3 linked regions of the Cricetulus griseus genome follow. The protein of the gene in region 1 interacts with the protein of each later gene in a biochemical or structural test. Links are inferred from orthologs where the notes say so. Each region holds a gene or a part of one and is shown on either strand. Other genes may lie near its edges.

The links.
Region 2: of the proteins of Gsk3b (region 1) and Nfe2l2, one has a biochemical effect on the other in vitro, tested with the Homo sapiens proteins (2 studies listed by BioGRID). The link is inferred for Cricetulus griseus from reciprocal best matches to the Homo sapiens genes GSK3B and NFE2L2.
Region 3: of the proteins of Gsk3b (region 1) and Rictor, one has a biochemical effect on the other in vitro, tested with the Homo sapiens proteins (2 studies listed by BioGRID). The link is inferred for Cricetulus griseus from reciprocal best matches to the Homo sapiens genes GSK3B and RICTOR.

What each region holds. Positions count from the first base shown.
Region 1 is NC_048597.1:51,926,490-51,932,985, reverse strand, and holds part of Gsk3b (glycogen synthase kinase-3 beta), read left to right. Parts: intron 1-3,164; coding exon 3,165-3,275; intron 3,276-6,438; coding exon 6,439-6,496. UniProt on the Homo sapiens protein: Constitutively active protein kinase that acts as a negative regulator in the hormonal control of glucose homeostasis, Wnt signaling and regulation of transcription factors and microtubules, by phosphorylating and inactivating glycogen synthase (GYS1 or GYS2), EIF2B, CTNNB1/beta-catenin, APC, AXIN1, DPYSL2/CRMP2, JUN, NFATC1/NFATC, MAPT/TAU and MACF1.
Region 2 is NC_048599.1:99,392,252-99,398,352, forward strand, and holds the end of Nfe2l2 (nuclear factor erythroid 2-related factor 2), read left to right. Parts: coding exon 1-97; intron 98-762; coding exon 763-852; intron 853-1,563; coding exon 1,564-1,752; intron 1,753-2,135; coding exon 2,136-3,359; 3' UTR 3,360-3,811; downstream 3,812-6,101.
Region 3 is NC_048595.1:340,528,181-340,534,676, forward strand, and holds part of Rictor (rapamycin-insensitive companion of mTOR), read left to right. Parts: intron 1-1,567; coding exon 1,568-1,723; intron 1,724-2,065; coding exon 2,066-2,189; intron 2,190-3,091; coding exon 3,092-3,230; intron 3,231-3,349; coding exon 3,350-3,424; 3' UTR 3,425-6,496. UniProt on the Homo sapiens protein: Component of the mechanistic target of rapamycin complex 2 (mTORC2), which transduces signals from growth factors to pathways involved in proliferation, cytoskeletal organization, lipogenesis and anabolic output.

The sequences.
Region 1 (6,496 bases):
ATTACATTTCATCTGCACTGGGGAAACAGAGAAAGAGAACAGAAACTGGGCTCAGGCTACTAAACCTGCAACTCTGCCTTTAGTGAAATACTGCCTCCACCAGGGCTCTGCCTCCTAAAGGTTCCATAACTTTGCTAAACCATGCCACCAGCTGAGGACCAAGGGTTTAAACACGCAAGCCTATGGGGCACATTGCTCATTCAAACCACAGCTTTCTAAGCAAAAAGATTGCCCGTTAATCCTTACTGTTGCTCTAGTGCCTGTCTTGTGCTAGCCCTGTAACCCATCAGAGGAAAGACAACTGCTTACGAGTTTTTTGCTAGCTAAAATTCCATCACCGATTCTAAGAGTGTAGGGCTGCCATGATGCTGGGTTGGATGTCTTATCATAATCTCTCTGACATGCTGCTTTGCTTCCCATGAACATTTCAGAATAATATTGTCTATTTAAAGCTTCAGCCTCAAGCTGTTTTATTTCCTTGACCTCGCCAGTCAACTGGGGACAGGAGCTTCTTAGTACTATCAGTTTTACAACGATAAGCTGAAGTCTGTCCCTGTCCCTGCTGCTAGGTGATATTAAACCATGCCATTTAAATGTCCAAGTAGTGTGGCTTAAATTCAACATCCAGAGAGGACCGGATATCAGTGATCAGGGGGCAGTGATGAATTGGGAAACTGTGGAGAAATACTCCATAAATTACACATTATGGAAGTGTGGGTAGTTTCTCAGCAAGATCCAGTTTGTACAGGAGATGCTTTCACAGAATCTGTGAAACAGTCCTGAGGCTCGGCAGCAGCTCTGAGGGTGGGGATTTGTTGTGCTGGTGAGCTTCTGCATTGTAAGCCATATTCTCTCTGTATTTTTGTCATTAGCTTTAAATTTACATCCAATTGCTGAATTTTCTGGTGACTCAAAGGAGATTATTTTGAGATCCCAGCAAACCTGCATTTCAGAAAATTACAAGTGCCAGAAGTGCAGAATCCTGGGCCTTCTTTCTTCTTGAGATACTGTCATATTAAATATGAGTCACCTGAATAATCTTTACAGGAACCTCCAAATAGGATGCAAAATACCACTTTTCTTCCCATGTTTTCTGGGGTTGAATACTCTCACTCCATGGGTTAATACCATGATTATTTAATTTGCATTAAAACATTTATTAATTTAACAAATACCCTTATTTAAGCTTCATGTTTCTCATGATATAATAATAAATTGGAGTATTGACCCTCTAGCAGACATGATTTTATTTACCGCCCTTTGGTGTATTCTGCTTTGTTGAACAGTATAACCTAAAAAGGGATTTTTGTCAGTACTTTGTTTTGTAATGAGACCTGAACGATACAGAGCAGAGTGGAATTGTCTTTATTGATCTGAGCCTAGCCCTTCTTCTGAGCCTCATGTGTTTCATTTCATTAGAAGTATCTCGTTGATTCCTGTTCAGCTTTGTTCAGTTACACCTGTCATTTACTTTCCCAATGGCTGTCCTGTTTCTTGATTTTTCTGATCTGTCTTTGTGTATTGATGCTCTGAGTTTTCATTATAAGGTTAAATTTCACGTTAAGAGTTCAGTAGATCAATATGGCCTATGAGAGGCCTTACAGTTCGTACTTGGTCTTCCATTTTCAGCCATTCTTCCTGGCGGTGTCAGTTTTAGATGGCTGGGTAAAATGAGACACTTCAAGCGTATCTCCTGTACTTGTATTTGGTTAGCGCATTTGGGAATTGTTTGTGAATGTGTTTAGTTATGTCTTAGACTGATTTACCACTTACTCACTATTCCTTGCTGTATTCAGAGTCTGGCTACACCTTTACATTTGTTACTTAACCATTGTCGACATTTGTTTCTTCAAATTCTAATAAATGAAATCATACATGGCGTTAGCTTTCAAAACACTGGTGTGACAAAAAATAACCTGTGGAAAACAATGTAAATTATTTTAACTCACAACTTAAGAGGATTTGGCCGATATCAGCTGTATTTTCAGGTTGTCAGTTGTGGTAAGGCCTTTAACAGCCTGAAAATAACTTTGTGGAAAGGTGTGGTGGGGGTTGGGGGTTGAATACCCTAGGTCTAAGATTTTAATCCTTTCCTTGTTTGAATTTGGTTTTGTACTATTCTTTCCCCTTGCAACAGGGATGTTAACCTGTGCCTGTCCCGCTGTTGTATTGAAAGTATGTAACTTAGTTTTGATTTTTCCAGAGCTCATAGCTAATAGTTTGCTTTGAGTCTCAGGAGACTAGATTTGAACTTTTCAGCAATACTAGAATTGTTATTGCAGAAATTACATATCACCTTATTCAAAGAGAGGGGTGTAGAGGAATGAGTTACGCTTGGTAACTTTATACGTGCACCCACTTTCCTCCTGTAGGAGATACTCCATGAGCCCCAACACAAGTCATTTATTTGGGTTTGTTAGAATTAGTATCATTGATCATTGGTCTGCAGTTTTACCACTCAGTAGCCAATAGTAATCCTCAGCTATATTTTCTGCCTCAGTTTACCTAACTGGCGCTGTTCAGAGAACAGGGTGTGGCTAGTGCTTTGTCCTCTTGTTTCTCTTGACTGGCACTGAATTCCTGTCTTTATGATGCTACAAAGAGAAACTGACACCTAGGCCTTTGATAAGCCAGTGAGTATGATCTCCTTGCCATAAGTTTTGTTTTGTGTACTAGTGATTGTTCTACAAATTTTAGACTGTCCAGCAAACAGGAACATTGTGGAGATGTTAAAGCATTTCAAAGAATACGTAGCTCAGCCCTTTGTAGGAGTGGAAGAAGCTGAAGCTGAGGCACATTGTGATGTATACATAGCAATCTGCAGCAGAGTCAGGCTAGTAGCAACTCCGCATTGTCGTCAGGTTGTCTTTCCTGATTTAAGGGGAGACATTGGTTTTTCAGCCTATAAAATAATAAAAGATATGACAAGTAATAAACTTATAACACATGCATAAGCACATGATAGGAATCTTAATAATACCGGGATTATAAAGTGTGGTAGATGCATTTGTACAGTTCTGGTTATGTTCAAAAGTAATTGTATAATTAAAATGAACCATATGAAATTTTTCTTTAAAAATAAGTGGGTGTATGGAGAATTTACTCTAATTTGAATATGTAAGATCAGTCTCTAATTTTGTTGTTGTTCTTTCATTCTCTTTCAGAAAGATGAGGTCTACCTTAATCTGGTGCTGGACTATGTTCCGGAAACAGTGTATAGAGTTGCCAGACACTATAGTCGAGCCAAACAGACACTCCCTGTGATCTATGTCAAGGTGTGTAACAATGGAACGACTTCCAGTTTACCAAACATTTAATATGAACCACGCAGAGTATTGGGTTTGTTTCAACTTGTCAACACTGCTTTTACTCCTCAGAGAAGCAGCAAACTCTAGATTTTGTTAGTTCTGACTTGATTTTGAAACATAGAGTTCCCTTTAAAGCCTTCATTACTCTGCAGTGGATAAAGGTGCTTGCTGTGCAAGCCTGGTCATTTGAGTTCTATGGGACGTACATACAGGTAGAAGAGAACCAACTCTATAGAGCCCTCTAAACCTCCACATGCATGCCAGGTTTTATGTGCCCCACCTCAGACACATCATGTTGGCACACACATGCACATGAGATAAGTGAATTGAAATGGATATTCTGATAAGATGCAGTTAAACTTTCATGGTTAGGGGTTTTAATTGTGATAGCCATAACACCTTGTGTGTGGGGTGCAGGGTGAGGCACAAGTGAAGACCAGAGGAGGAGGATGTGCTCCCTTCCCCATAGCCTCCCACCTTTGCCTTGAGAAGGCCTCTTACATAAGCTTATGACTTGGGCTGGTCTGAACCTCCCTCCCCATGCAGTGCTGGGGTAACAGCCAAGTGCAACTAGTCCCACCTTTTTACACAGGTGCCAGAAATCCAAACTGAGGTTTTCGTGTGTGTGCAGCAAATACTCTAACCCAGTGAGACATCTCCCAGCCCCATAACATCATTTTAGTTTTAGATGTCTTCATTGTGCCACACACCAAAGCAGGAACCTACTAGGTAAATTTACAGTTATTAATATACTTATTTAATGCTTTATTACCATTTGTAGACACTTATTACATTCATTGTACAAATTTAAACTTGTCAGTTTTAAACACAAGCCTTAGGATGGTACCCAGCACAGTGTTGGTTGTTTTTGGTGCTGTTGTTCTTTTGCTCATTGTAGTGCAGGAAGCCTTTCAACTTTCTTCATAAAAGTACATTTTTATAAAGTAGACCAAAGGCCCCCCCCCCAAAAAAAGATGCAGTCTCATTTCATTCTTAAACTTTACTTTTCCAAGACAAATGAAAAGAACAGTGATGAGATATCTTTAAATGAATCTTAAACTGCTAAGGACATCTTTTGTAAGAAAATGTCTTTCACCGAGTTTTGTTAATCTAAATATTAATACCCTGAAACAGCTAAATCTTTCCTTTGATGCCCATGAACTCTCTTGGTTATAGATCATTTGGTTGGAGATAATGAATTCAGCTACCAGAGTAAGCTTTGGAACTTAAAACTTGATTCTGTAAATGAACAATGATACAATAATAGTTACAAAGCCTTTAAAAAGATTAATAGGTATCTAAATGCTTTACTTCTGATTTAATTAGAAAATGTTGACATTGAAGATCTTAGGTATACATTTTTGTCATGCTTCATTTTGAAGAAGGCTCTAACTTGCATAGCTTGATTTCAGATTCACATTAAACATGTACTGTTAACATGTCCAGCCTTAGCAGTTTCATTATGCTTCTAAAGAAAAGTGGCTTTCCTGTGAACTTCAATAATGCCAGTCCCCAACAATATATCCAGAAAAGACAGGGTCTTTTGTCAGTACCTCAGCTGACCTTTAATCTTTTTATTGGCTTTTTGTTGTTTTGTTTTTGTTTTTTGAGACAGGGTTTCTCTGTGTAGCTTTGAAGGCTGTCCTGGAACTCACCCTGTAGACCAGGCTGGCCTCAAACTCACAGAGATCCGCCTGCCTCTGCCTCCTGAGTGCTGGGATTAAGGATGTACACCACCATTGTCTGGCTGTTCATTTTTTTTTTTTTTCCTTAGTCAGACACTGTGTCTTTGATTGGAATCATTGCAGCAATTGTTTCCATGGTGTTAATCAGGGAGTAGAGCTCAGAAAGTGAGCATGTAGAAAAAATTTAAAATGAATCTGGTTGAGTGTAGTGGTACATATCTATAATCTTAGCAATTTGGAGTAAGACAAAAGAATGACAGGATCAAGACCAGCTTGTATACAACAGGAGTAGTATGTCCTGGAAGAGATTAAAAATGAATAAATCAATAACTAAGAAATAAGTAAACAAATAATAAGTAAATAAATAAATAAGGAAGAAAGGAAGTAACGAAGGGAAAGAGTCACAACACTGGCCTTGGAATAAATAGAATATTGAAGGTGTTACATCGGTATGTTTTCTTAAAGTTTTAAGGGTATTTCTCTGGTTGCTCTGACAAAATTCCAGACAAAGGCAACTCAATGAAGGAAAGGTTTATTTTGGCCTAATAGTTCTGGAGGATAGGGTGCATCGAGGTAGGGAAAGCAAGGTGAGAGAACATGGGATAGTGGGTCACTCTCAGAGGATATATCGTGTGTGAGCTCTGAAATTTGCTCTATAGGCCAAGCCATCCTTGGACTCAGAGACCCCCCTGGCATCTGTTTTTAGGTGGCATTGCAAGTCTACATTATTCTGAAGGTTATTAATACTACTTATTAGCAGAGTTACTGATGTCTGAAAAGGCAATTGATTAGATTTCTTACTTTACCTGTGAGTTTTCCTGGCTTCTATTATATGATTTTGGAGACTAACCTTTCAGAAAGATAAATGATACTAAAAATGACACTATGCTTTTACAGCCTGAGATACTAGAAAGAATAATGAACATGGTTTATCATCTAAAGGCTGCTATCTATCACTCATAGACTATGGTCGGTCTCTCCCTCTGAGCTCTTCATCGATGTTTTAAGTAAAAAAATTCATCCAGCTGACTTCAGATGAGATGTTAAAGTGGGTGAAAGGGATTGAACCCCTGACTTTTTTTGTGTGCTAAGCAAGTGCTCTACTGCTTAGCTACATCCCTAGCCCTCTTTAAATTTTAGATTGAGATATGGTTTCACTAAGTTTCCTAGGTAGACCTTAAACTTAGAATTCCCCTGCCTCAGTTGTATGACACCAAGCCTAGATACTTTTCTAAATTACTAAAGGATAGCACAAATATATGCTTAATGATACTTTAATTTCCTAGTGTTTATGGAAACAACATGAAAGCTTGTGTAGGCAAAACAGTACTAGTAATCATCAGCGTTGTACATGTTCTGCTGAGACTATTACTTTGTTTATTGCATAATGATACAATTGTGTCTGAAACCAGAGGTGCTGAATTAATGTCTATTATTTATTCCAGTTGTATATGTATCAGCTGTTCAGAAGTTTAGCCTATATCCATTCCTTTGGAATCTGCC
Region 2 (6,101 bases), on another chromosome or scaffold:
TCAGTTACAACTGGATGAAGAGACAGGAGAATTCCTCCCAATTCAGCCAGCCCAGCACATCCAGACAGATGCCAGTGGATCTGCCAGCTATTCCCAGGTATACTTAGTTCTCAGAAAAAAAAAGAAAAAAAAAATGAGTTTTCCTCTAAGTGGACCACCTGGATTTGAGTTCTTTGTCTGTTGTCTACCATGTCTTTTGTGACTAGATCAAGTTCCCAAGCTTGGCTTCCTGATGAGTTCAGTACCTGAGCTCCTCTTAAGGGTCCTTGTGATGATCAAGACATGGATCACAGGGAGCACTTGGAGAATTACAGAAATACCTGTTGGGAGAAACTGCAACAGTAGTGCTGTTGGTAGTAAACTGGTGTGCATTGCTCACAGTGTTGTGGCAGGCATCGCCCTAGTTATATGAATAACTGATTTAACTTACTATGTTAAGTACTATGATTCCCATGTAAGTTGACAGACAACTAAAGCTCAGAAGGGTTAAATCATTTACCCAGACCACTCAGAAAATTAGGGGAGGTTATTGCCTAGCACAAGGCCCTCTGTTCAATCCCCCAGCACTGTTTATTAAGCGGGGAGGGGATGGGACTAAGATTTGAATCTAAGTGATCTGGTTTGAACTTGTGCAACAGACTGATTTCTGAAGTAACATTAGTTTGTATCATTATTTAAGGAACAACTCTTGATGCCAGTCACACCTCTTGGGCTCAGCAGAACTTTTAATAAATTCTTTTGTGCCATTCCCTCTTGATCCAGGTGACCCACATTCCCAAACCAGATGCCTTGTACTTTGAAGACTGCATGCAGCTTTTGGCAGAGACATTCCCATTTGTAGATGACCATGAGGTATAAAAATGTTTGCTTAACAGCAAAACTCCCTTATTTGGTATTAGTTCCTTTAATGTGTCCCCAAGTATAAGAATAAAAAAAATTTTAGAAGGACATATTTGACCAAAGAAATTATTTGTTAAGGGAATTATACAGGTATCTATACGATGCTTAAAAATAAGGTCTGTATATAATACTAAACCTCAAGTCAATTTTACTGTGTAGCTACAAAAAAAATGAATCAAGAGTTAATTTTCCATAGGAAATGGATATAGGTATATAAAATACTGACCAGTAAAGAGCAACTATTAACCAGTACTTTAGTTAACATTCTTGCCAGGCATTGGTGGTGCACACCTTTAATTCCAGCACTTGGCAGTTGACCTCTGTGAGTTCGAGACCAGCCTGGTCTACATAGTTCCAGGATAGGCTCCAAAGCTACCCAGAGAAACCCTGCCCCCCCCCAAAAAAAAGCTTTATCTATTGTTTGAAGCACTCTGCTAGATGTTACAGATAGAAATTAAGTCCTCATAATTATTTTTATCCATTTTGAAATCTGCCCTTAAATACATGGGCAACAGCTTAGTAAATTGTAAATGTGGAGTCATTTTGGAAGGATGAAATGTTGTTGTATAGAAACAGTGATAAGTAATCAAAGAGCTGCAGACCCAATTAAGTGTCCTCTGCATGCCTTGGCCGTCACTAATGTAAGTGCCTTGTCAATCTTAGGTTTCTTCACCTACATTTCAATCACTCACCCTGGATATTTCCAGCAACGTTGAAAGCCCAGTCTTCAGCAGTCCGGATCAGGCTCAGTCACTGGACAGCTGTCTGGAGACAGCCATGACTGATCTAAACAGCATACAGCAGGACATGGAGCAAGTTTGGCAGGAGCTTCTTTCCATTCCCGAATTACAGGTAAGCGAGCTCTGTGAGTGTGCTGTTTCCTATGTGGCCCTTAAATTAGTCATCCTGGTTATTTATTATTTACATGTCACCTACTTACAGGAAGAAATTGGGGGTGTGTTTGAATTACTCATGAGAGCATCCCAGGCTCATTTAACACATACAGTTTTTAGTTAAGCAGGCTGAATATTTCAGGATAGATTCATTCTAAGTGTGAAAGCTAATTTAGAGCTCTGACAATCATATCGATCTATAGGAAATTAGAGTTATTGGAATTATTGAAAAGAACACCTTGGAAATGGGGGGTAGAGAATTGATTTTAAAATACCTAGCCTCTATTCATACAATATCGTATTCATACAATACAATTCATACAATATGAACTTCTTTTCTAGTGTCTTAATACTGAAAACAAGCCGCTGGTTGAGACTGCCACTGTTCCCAGCCCAGAAGCCAATCTGACAGAAATTGACAGCAATTACCATTTTTACTCATCCGTCCCCTCACTGGATAAAGAAGTCGACAGTTGCAGTCCACATTTTCTTCATGGTTTTGAAGATTCTTTCGGCAGCATCCTCTCCACGGAAGACGCCAGCCAGCTCACCTCCTTAGATTCAAATTCCACATTAAACACAGATTTTGGTGATGAGTTCTATTCTGCTTTCATAGCAGAGCCCAGTGGCAGTAGCAGCATGGCTTCCTCTGCTGCCGTCAGTCAGTCACTCTCTGAACTTCTGGGCGGGCCTATTGATGGCTGTGATCTGTCACTTTGTAAAGCTTTCAACCAGAAGCACCCCGAAAGCACAGCAGAATTCAATGACTCTGACTCTGGCATCTCACTGAACACTAGTCCCAGCCGAGCATCCCCAGAGCACTCTGCGGAGTCTTCCATTTACGGAGACCCACCGCCTGGGTTCAGTGACTCTGAAATGGAAGAGCTAGATAGTGCCCCTGGAAGTGTCAAACAGAATGGTCCTAAGGCACAGCCAACACATTCTTCTGGGGATACAGTGCAACCTCTGTCACCAGCTCTAGGGCACAGTCCTCCTGCACATGATGCCCAGTGTGAAAATACAACAAAAAAAGAAATGCCTGTGAGTCCTGGTCATCAAAAAGTCCCATTCACAAAAGACAAACATTCAAGCCGCTTGGAGGCTCATCTCACAAGAGATGAGCTTAGGGCAAAAGCTCTCCATATCCCATTCCCTGTTGAAAAAATCATTAACCTCCCTGTTGATGACTTCAATGAAATGATGTCCAAGGAGCAATTCAATGAAGCTCAGCTTGCATTAATCAGAGATATACGCAGGAGAGGCAAGAATAAAGTCGCTGCTCAGAACTGTAGGAAAAGGAAACTGGAGAACATAGTAGAACTGGAGCAAGACTTAGGCCACTTAAAAGATGAAAGAGAAAAACTACTCAGAGAAAAGGGAGAAAACGACAGAAACCTCCATCTACTGAAGAGGCAGCTCAGCACCTTGTACCTTGAAGTCTTCAGCATGTTACGTGATGAGGATGGAAACCCTTACTCTCCTAGTGAGTACTCCCTGCAGCAGACCAGAGACGGCAATGTATTCCTGGTTCCCAAAAGCAAGAAGCCAGACACCAAGAAAAACTAGGTTCGGAAAGATGGAGCCTTTTGTTTTGAGCTAGTGTTTGTTTTGTACTGCTAAGACTTCCTACTGTGATGTGAAATGCAGAAACACACTTTATAGGAACTATGCAGAACTATAGCCAAAGTTAGCGTAGAAATAATATGAAACTACAGAGCATTCATGTCTCAATGTTGAATCAGTTTCATTTTAACTCTGAAGTTAATTTCTTAGGGCATCATTTGGGCTAGTTTCTGTGTAAGTGTAAATACTACAAAACTTATTTATACTGTTCTTATTTGTTACATTCATAGATTTTTATGACATCTGGCTAAAAGCAAATTATTGCAAAACTAACCAAACCACTATACTTTTTTATATACTGTATGAACAAAAATGACATTTTTATATTAAATTGTTTAGCTCTGACAAAAATTAAAGGAGCTGACACTAATAAAGGAATATCGTGACTTAAATTACTCTGGATCGAGTTTATTCACAACAGTATTTCCCATAGGAGAATCACCCATTTAGCACATTTGGTTATTTTTCACTTTCAGAATGGTTTTGAAAATTCAAAAGCATTTTATAACCAGGTGTGGTAGTACATGCTGCTTATTCTCAATATTCTGGAGGTAGAGGCAAAAATAAACCCTTTCTATACTAAATGTAGTTACTAGGATTGTCCTACCAAGGAAATGGTGTATGTCCCATGAAAACTTGCTTATTCACAGCAATGGTATGCCTGCTAAGGGGGGTTAGGAATGTTAAGAAAAAAGATTGAGAAAACCAGTTTTTATTAAAAAAACAAAAAACAAAACAAAAAAACAGGGAACAGGGCCTAGTGGCTCATGTCTTTAATCTTGGCAATTCGGGGCAGGGACTGGCCAATCTCTCTGAGTTCGTGACCAGCCTGGTTTACATAGAGAGTTCCAACATAGCCAGAGAGCTATGTAAAGAGAAACTATGTCTCAAAAAAAAAAAAAAAAAAAAAAAAAATCCAAATAAATGAATACTAGTAAAACCCATTGCAACTCTGAGCTTGTAACATCTGAAGGTGTAGGTCAAACCACTGTTAGAGCATTGCATGATAACACAAAACTGCAGACCAAGGCTGAGCCACAGAGATGGAAGTGATGGGAAGAACCGCTATGAAAATGGTAGGAGTGGGCAGTCTTTAGAAGACAGGGGCTAAGATTGAAGTGGGAGATGAGCCTGTCCCCTCTGGTTTGTGCACCTGAGCAATCTACAAGGCAGGAGTGGGTTCAGAGAGACCAATTGTGAAGTTAGTATATGCAACTACATTTTTCTTTCACGACAGGGTTTTTCTGTACCCCTGGCTGTCCTGGAACTCTATAGACCAGCTGGCTTTGAGCTTGAGATCTGCCTGCCCTAGCCTCCTCATATCTGGGGTTAAAGGCATACACCATCATTTTCTAATAAAATCAAGGAATTGTTACACAAGAATGAAGAAATTCTAATGGTGGGAAAACTGGCTCACATGTGTAGATAGAGACTATTAGACATGTAGAGGATATAAAAACAAAGCCCCTAAAACTTAAAAATTTGCATTCCTTTAAAACAAAAACACTTGATAACACCAGTTCAATTTCATCTAATCGCTGTAATTCATGCTTATTGCCTTTTTAAGAGTCAGGAGCTAGGTGTGGCTGTGCACCCAGGAGGGAGAATTATCTCAAGTTCATACAGCCTGAGCAGTTCCAGGGCTACATAAAATTTGAGGAAGAGGGTCCTGGAGATGCACTTGAGACTTGATAAACATTCCTCTAAGAGTTCTACCAGTAAACTGGGACCAGTCATGTACTTAACAGCCCTGGCACCAGACTGACCCTGTTCTGGTCATTTTCTAGAGAAATGCCTCCATCTACTCACTTTAGCACTCAGACTTGTCTCATCTGTGATGGAAACATCTGTAAATGGATTATTTGTTCATCTTCAAACCTTGTTCTAGGATTCATAAGATAGTTGGTCATGAATTCTCATGCTGTCCATCTCTGGAGGTGTGGTAGTGATAGACGATCCCATTTTATTCCAATTGACAAAGAAACTGACAGGAATCCTGGGAGTAGCTCCATGTGGAGCACACAGAATAGACTGCCCATCTGCATTATCACAGTCCTGTTTCACAAGATTCTGCCATTCATAAAAAGGAACTGACCGTAGTACTTTACAGTGTCTAAATTTACATTATGTGGTGCTTTATGCAATTGCTTAAAATTTCAAATAGAGAGGCTAGAAAGATGGCTCATTGATTAAGAGCTCTGACCGCTCTTCTAGAGGACATGGGCTCAAATTCCAGCACATGAATGGCAGCTCACAACCATCTATAACTGCAGTTCCAGGGCACCAGTTACACAGACAGGCATGCACACAAAACATCCATACACAAAAAGTCTTTTTAAGAAAATTTTAAAGCCAGACAGTGGTGGCACACACCTTTAATTCCAGTACTTGGGAGGCAGAGGTAGGCAGATCTTTTTGAGTTTGAGGTCTGGTCTACAGAGTGAGTTCAAGAACAGCCAGAGCTGTTGTTACACAGAGAAACACTGTCTCAAAAATCCAAGAAAAAAAAAAAGGAAAAAATGTAAATCTTCTGAACACCAGCATACCCAATTATCAAAACCAAAACTGTTTGTTCCATATTTGAAATAGTAAATCTAGCCCATAAATGTTTAAATCTTTCTTGAATTGTTTCTAGTTCAATTCTGTAGGCTAAAATGCACACCTTTGAGGTTATGTCAACACTAT
Region 3 (6,496 bases), on another chromosome or scaffold:
TGGTCTTGAGGTAGATCAATTCCCAGTTTCCTGAGGAATCTCTATACTGATTTCCATAGTGGCTGTACAAGGTTAGACTCCTACCCACAATAGAGGAGTGATCCCCTTGCTCTACATCCTTGCCAGCATGAGCTGCCACTTGTGTTATTGATCTTAGTCATTATGTCAGGCGTAAAATGGGATTTCAGAGTCGTTTTGATTTGCATTTCCTTGATTGCTAAAGATGTTGAAAAAATTCTTTAAGTGTTTCTTGGCCATTTGAGAGTTCTCTACTTAGATCTGTATGCCATTTTTAAATTGTATTATCTGATTTGTTGGTGTCTAGTTTCTTGAGTTCTTTATGTGTTTGGGATGTTAGCCAGATGTGGGATAGTCCTGTTGCTGGTATCCTTTGCCTTACAGAGCTTTTCAGTTTCAAGAGTTTCCATTTATTGATCTTAGTTCCTGTGCTATTGGTGTTCTGGCCTAAGCCCAATCTTATGGAGGCATTTTTTTAAAAAATGAAGTTCTCTCCTGTCAGATTACATAGCTTTTATCAAGTTGACATAAAACTATCTAGCACAGTAGACATGGAAATAGTAATCTGAGAAGTGTTTGGAGATGGAATAAAAAGTAGTGCAAAGTTTATTTTTTGGGAACCAAGGTTGGGTGAGGTTGAAACTCTTTTCTTCAATATTGGTATGATGAAAGGGAAGTAGGCCAGCTTTTAGAAGGTCTGACTTTCTAGCTGAATGTCTATTTTCGCTGAGTTATATTTTTCATGAGCGGAGTGAATGCTTAACTAACTTCCATTGCGTTATGTAGCACTAAGCTTGTCTGATTGTTGTAGGATGTCCAGTGTTATCCTGAAAGGATGATCAACAGTTTTTTTCACATTTGTTTTCATCATTGATTGTAATACCTAGGGATTTTTTAAATTACATTTTTATTTGTTCCTGTGTTTATGTACCATGTGTATCATGGTACATGTACCACAGGACCTTGAAGATCAGAAGACAACTGATTGCAGTCAGTTTTCTCCTTCCACCCTGTGGGTCCTGGGGTTGAATTCAGGTAGTAAGACTTAGCAGCAAGCACCCTTCTAACCCTTTGAACCATACAGATGATCCATGGCCAGGGCATTTTTAAACCAAAAAAGCATGTTAGCTTAGATGTTAATGTTAGGTGGACTTCAGAATCCCAGCGTGGGCACAGTGCACGGAGAGAAGAACAAGAAGGAAAAATTAAAATAGGAGAGGTCTGAAATAACATTATGCTTTTAATTGCATTTACTGCTGGGTGAGGCATTCAGATAGAGGTAGAAAGGATGGGAGAAGAGAAGATAATAAGGTGTGTTCTTTTATACGTATTTGCTTGAAAATTAATGACTTATTCCTACATTTTTACTAGGAAAATCAACTCTAGAACATAGCAGGTTCTCTTGTTTGAACTCTCAATATCTGAGCAGTCTAGATTTACTTTGAAAAATCTTAATGAAAAGAAATTGTTGAGAACAGGGAAGGAGTTCTCTTAGAGTGTGCAGTCCTACCACAGGAATGAGCTCTAATCGAAATGCTTTTACCTTCAGACCTTCAAGATATTCCGTATTCTGATTGGTGTGAGCAGACGATCCACAATCCCTTAGAAGTGGTTCCCTCTAAGTTCTCAGGGATTTCTGGATGCAGCGACGGTGCATCTCAGGAAGGCTCAGCCAGCAGCACCAAAAGCACAGAGCTGCTACTGGGTGAGTCTTTAGATGCAGTTTCTGCATCCTTAATAAAACTGCATTCAGTTGGTTTTGCCTGCTAGCATATGTACTGTAATGTACAGTTGTCTCAGAGCTCTAACAGGTCTGTGTAAGACATTTAGCAGACTCTTAAATACTGCACCTATGCCAGCCATTCATAGCCCGTTCCCTCTCCGTGCTCTACTTCTATGAGAGCTTTGCCCCTACTTCATTGGCAGATTTTGTGCAGTTGATTCCAATTTCAGTTGCTTTTGTAGTTGGAAAATAAATAACCGTGAACCATAGTCATTTCTACATTGTGATATGATAAGTGACCTCACACTGACGTCTTCATTTCAGGTGTGAAAACCATTCCAGATGATACACCAATGTGCCGTATCCTGCTTCGTAAAGAAGTGCTAAGATTAGTCGTCAATTTGAGTAGTTCAGTTTCTACCAAGTGTCACGAAACAGGGCTTTTGACGTGAGTAACTATGTGAAGGTTGTGAGCTTGTTCTACTTTGTAAATTGCAGGAAGACACTTGCACAACAGCAGTCACAAGCTGCCTTCTATACATAGGGCTTAAAGTTGCTTCACTGTGGTACCTTAGTCTGGAGAGCAGATTGAAGAGAAAGTGAGAATCCAGCAATAATTTCAAACAAATCTGCAAAAATGGAAAACTGTATCTAAAAGCAGGACCCCTCTTGTCCCATTTTTTTAGTCTTGGTAAAATTTGGGGTTTTAAGTTAAATAACTTATTTATGTTAAACCTATAAAACATTTTTTTTAATTCCTAAATTTCAGTTTCTGGCATAATTGTTGGTGGCTATAACTCAAATACAAAAACAAGCTTTTTAGATTTCTCAATCAAATTTCAAGAAAGTGAGGAAGACCTAAGACCAACTGTTTTAGAAGTGAGGCTAAAATCGTTTATTTTTCTCTTTTCCTTCTTTTAAGAAAAAATTTAGGATATTTATTGTTTTTCTAACTCAGAGCAGCCTGATAAATGAAAAAAAATGATTTTGAGAAAATCATCCCTATTTGTGCTATTTAAAGTAGTGGTTTTCAAAAGAAGTATGAAATAGAAGTAGTTTGTAATAAGCCAGGTTTGGCGGCATATACTCGTAATCCCAGCACTTGGGAGGTCTCAGAGACAGGAGGATCTGGGATGCTAGGGACATGGAATCATGTTCAAGGCATGCCTGGACTACATGAAACCCTGTAGCAAAAAAAGGGAAAAAGAGACAGACAAACTAACTCACTATATTACTAAGCCATCACTCCTAACATTCCATCCAGTCAATATCTGGAGAAAAAATTAGCAGAAGGTGATATTCTGAAGGGTTAAATGAGTAAATTATCACAGCATTGTCTTTTCATTTTAGAATTAAAGAGAAGTATCCTCAAACATTTGATGACATATGCCTTTATTCTGAAGTTTCTCATTTGTTGGCACACTGCACATTTAGACTTCAATGCCGGAGGTTCATACAAGAGTTATTTCAGGATGTACAATTTTTACAAGTAAGTAAGACTATTTCTGAAATTTGTCTCCCAGAATTATTCTATACTTGAAGAAGTTGAAAGAGTGTATCTACATTATATGCCATTTTTATTTATTAACAATTTATCATTTTTCCTAGATGCATGAAGAAGCAGAGGCTGTGTTGGCAATTCCACCAAAACAACCCATAGTTGATGAATCTGATGAATCCTGACCTCATATTTATGATGTGTATAGCTAGACACTATATATTTATCCAAACTTGTGGATTTCCTAAAGGCCTCACGAAATACTGACTGGCTGTCAGGGAGGCAGGAATGTCTTCTGTCCCAGCAGTCATTGGTACAGAACAGCTGCAACTGCTGTCGTCCCTAACCAAGCCAACTTCCTCTTCCCTGTTGGACCCTTCTCCGGGTTCGTGATTCATTACCACAGTTTTAATTCAGTTCCCATCATATGCAAGAGCCAAGCACTGAATACCTACATAGGTTTTCTATTTTTTTATTTTAAAAGCATAATGGCGGTGGAACAAAAACAGGACATGAAGAAGTACCCTTCACATAGTTGTTTCTGAATGCTTCTTAAGGGTAAATCAAAAAGATGCCTTGTTTGTTAGCTAATTCATGGAAACCAGGAGTCACTGTCTCTGAGGCTGCATCCTGCTATCCCATAGGCTGTGCTGTAACTGCTGGTAAAGAGGGCTTCGTTGGCCCTTCCACATTTCCTTAATGTTTGTAACACTACTTCAGAGGTTTCTGACCTCGGAGCAAAAGAAGAGCCTCAACAATTGGAACTTAAGAGTTATTTTATATTGTTAGACTGCATAAAGATGCTTATTTGTTTTCCATCTCTTCATGTTTGTTGCAATATATTGTTATTGTACCAATTAAGGTTTTTCACTACAGTTGTTGGTTAAAATAAATAGTTCAATGGAAATACTTCCCATATCCAGAATGCATATATATATATATATATATATATATATATATATATATATATTTACATACATACATACACAACCCCAGTGGACTTCCATCTGTATGAGCTCCTCTCATCACCACTTTAAACAGACTGAGCAAGTATTAGTAGTCTGCACCCAAAGCAAAGAAAAGCATTAAGTGATACTTCCAATCTCTTAAATACAATTCACACATTCCATGTTAAAAAAAAGAGCCATATTTGTGTTTAAAAAGTCATTGAGACTCATTAAGATTAAAAATTGTGGTGAAAAGCCTTAATCACTAAATTTTAAAGCTGCGACAATGTCATTTTTGTTAGTGTTCTTGTTTTGCACAAAATAATTGCAGTTGTAGGTGAGTTGAGTATAGTCATTGCCTTTATCACATGTGAAGTTGATGAAGGCAGGGTTTTGTGTGTCTAATTTGTGTATGTATAAAGATATTTGGAAATCTTTACAGAAATTAAATATGCAAATTTGTACATAAAGTAGCATGAACATCATTTCTAGAATGCTTGTGAGTGAAAGGGTTATCTTTCTTGGAATCATATGTACAGAACAAAAACATCCAGCTGGATTGCCTAGGACCCTTTTGTAACTGCTTTGTGTAGACTGTTTTACAGTTACACATAAGCTTGAACACCGTCATAGACATCAGTCCATGTTTTCCCATGTTGTACACCCTTTTCATAATGGGCTTGTTTTCGAGACCTGGGAAACAGAACTCACAGAGATTTTTTTTTTAACTGGCACTGAAAGCTCCCACTAGGATGAAGCATTTCATCTCCCTCCTAACTCCTCTGACTGCACTTCAGCAAGTTGTTCTTACATGCACTGTGTGGCAACTTCCATGACGATAAAGCAGACAAGGGCTCTAAGCTGCTGCTCATGTTACAACACGGTTCTTCTCCTTTACTCAGAAAATCCAGTGAGGGTAAAACTTTGAACTTCATCACTGAACCCAAGTGTTTATTTAAATGTCAACAGTACTTCTAAGAGCATTGCCTATCACGTTGGTCTTTGGTCTTGGATAATAAAACTGCCTTTCCAGAGAACCAAATGTCAGAGATACTAGACCAAATAGTGGTTACAATTCCAAAGGAAGGAATGTAGTCTTACTCATAATGGGATTAACATTTTAGACATTCATTTTAAACACTACCTCAGTTAACATAGAGTATAAAATCTGTGGTTTCATCCCTCAAAAATAAACAGTAACTATTTTTGTTTTCCATCACACAAAACTATTCCCTATCCTGCGCACCTAAGTCAGCCATCCTTAAATTAAGACTGTGCCTAGTGTCCTAAGCAGGTGTTTGTTTTGATTGTTACTTTGAAAGAGGAGTGTGTGTGTGTGTGTGTGTGTGTGTGTGTGTGTGTGTGTGTGTGTGTGTTCGATCATGTCTGCCTATAGCACTTACTTTGGGAAGATATCGGAGCTTTGTGATGATCAGTCTATTGGAGTAAATTGTCTATACTTAAATTTATAGTGCTATGTGGTTTAACCATGATTTCACCAGGAGGTGTAATACATTTCCTTTAAGTACTTACTTGTATAAAAGTAGACTTTCATGATGAAAACTACATGCAGTGCCAAGTGATTAGTGTAGGTGTTTTATGACTATTAAATTGTAGCAGATTAGGAATGATGAATGATGTCAATGGTAATAGAAATCATTGAGAAATCATCTATAAATAATAGATTTTACCAAAATAATGTCAATACTGTAGTTTTTCAAGAGTTTAGAATTAATCTTAGTCACATAAATTTGTATTATTGGTAATTATTTAATAATTTGGAGGAGTTTGAACAGTTAAGCTGGTTGTAAACTGTGAATTTCTAATTGTAAATTGTCATTTCTAATTGAATTTTTTTCAAGAACAGATTTCAGCTTCACATACTAAGTAAATACTGACAAATAAGGAGAAATTTAGTATTTATAATAAAATAGGCTCTAAAATTTCTTGTCCTTTTATTTTCTGTTTGTGCTTAGGGTATATTGGAGGAGGAAAGTGTTCTCCCTAACTTAAGTGTTTCTAATAAAGAGTAATGAATAGACATCCCTGAGACAGTGATATTGCAAGGCTGTTGAAACTGCATGCATTGTTGCTATGGTGACATCAGGTCACTGGAAGCAATGTTTTCAGCAGCATTCCCCTCTTGTCCAGAGCTTGAGATGGTTAAAGCTTGAATTCCATGTCACCATGGTGGAGTGTTCAAAGTGGGATGTCACTGTTTATTTGGATTTGTCTACTGCTATTTATATAAAAAAAATTTTTCATTCCTTTCAGAGGATGCCTTTTATGCCCCATATCAAAGCACAGATC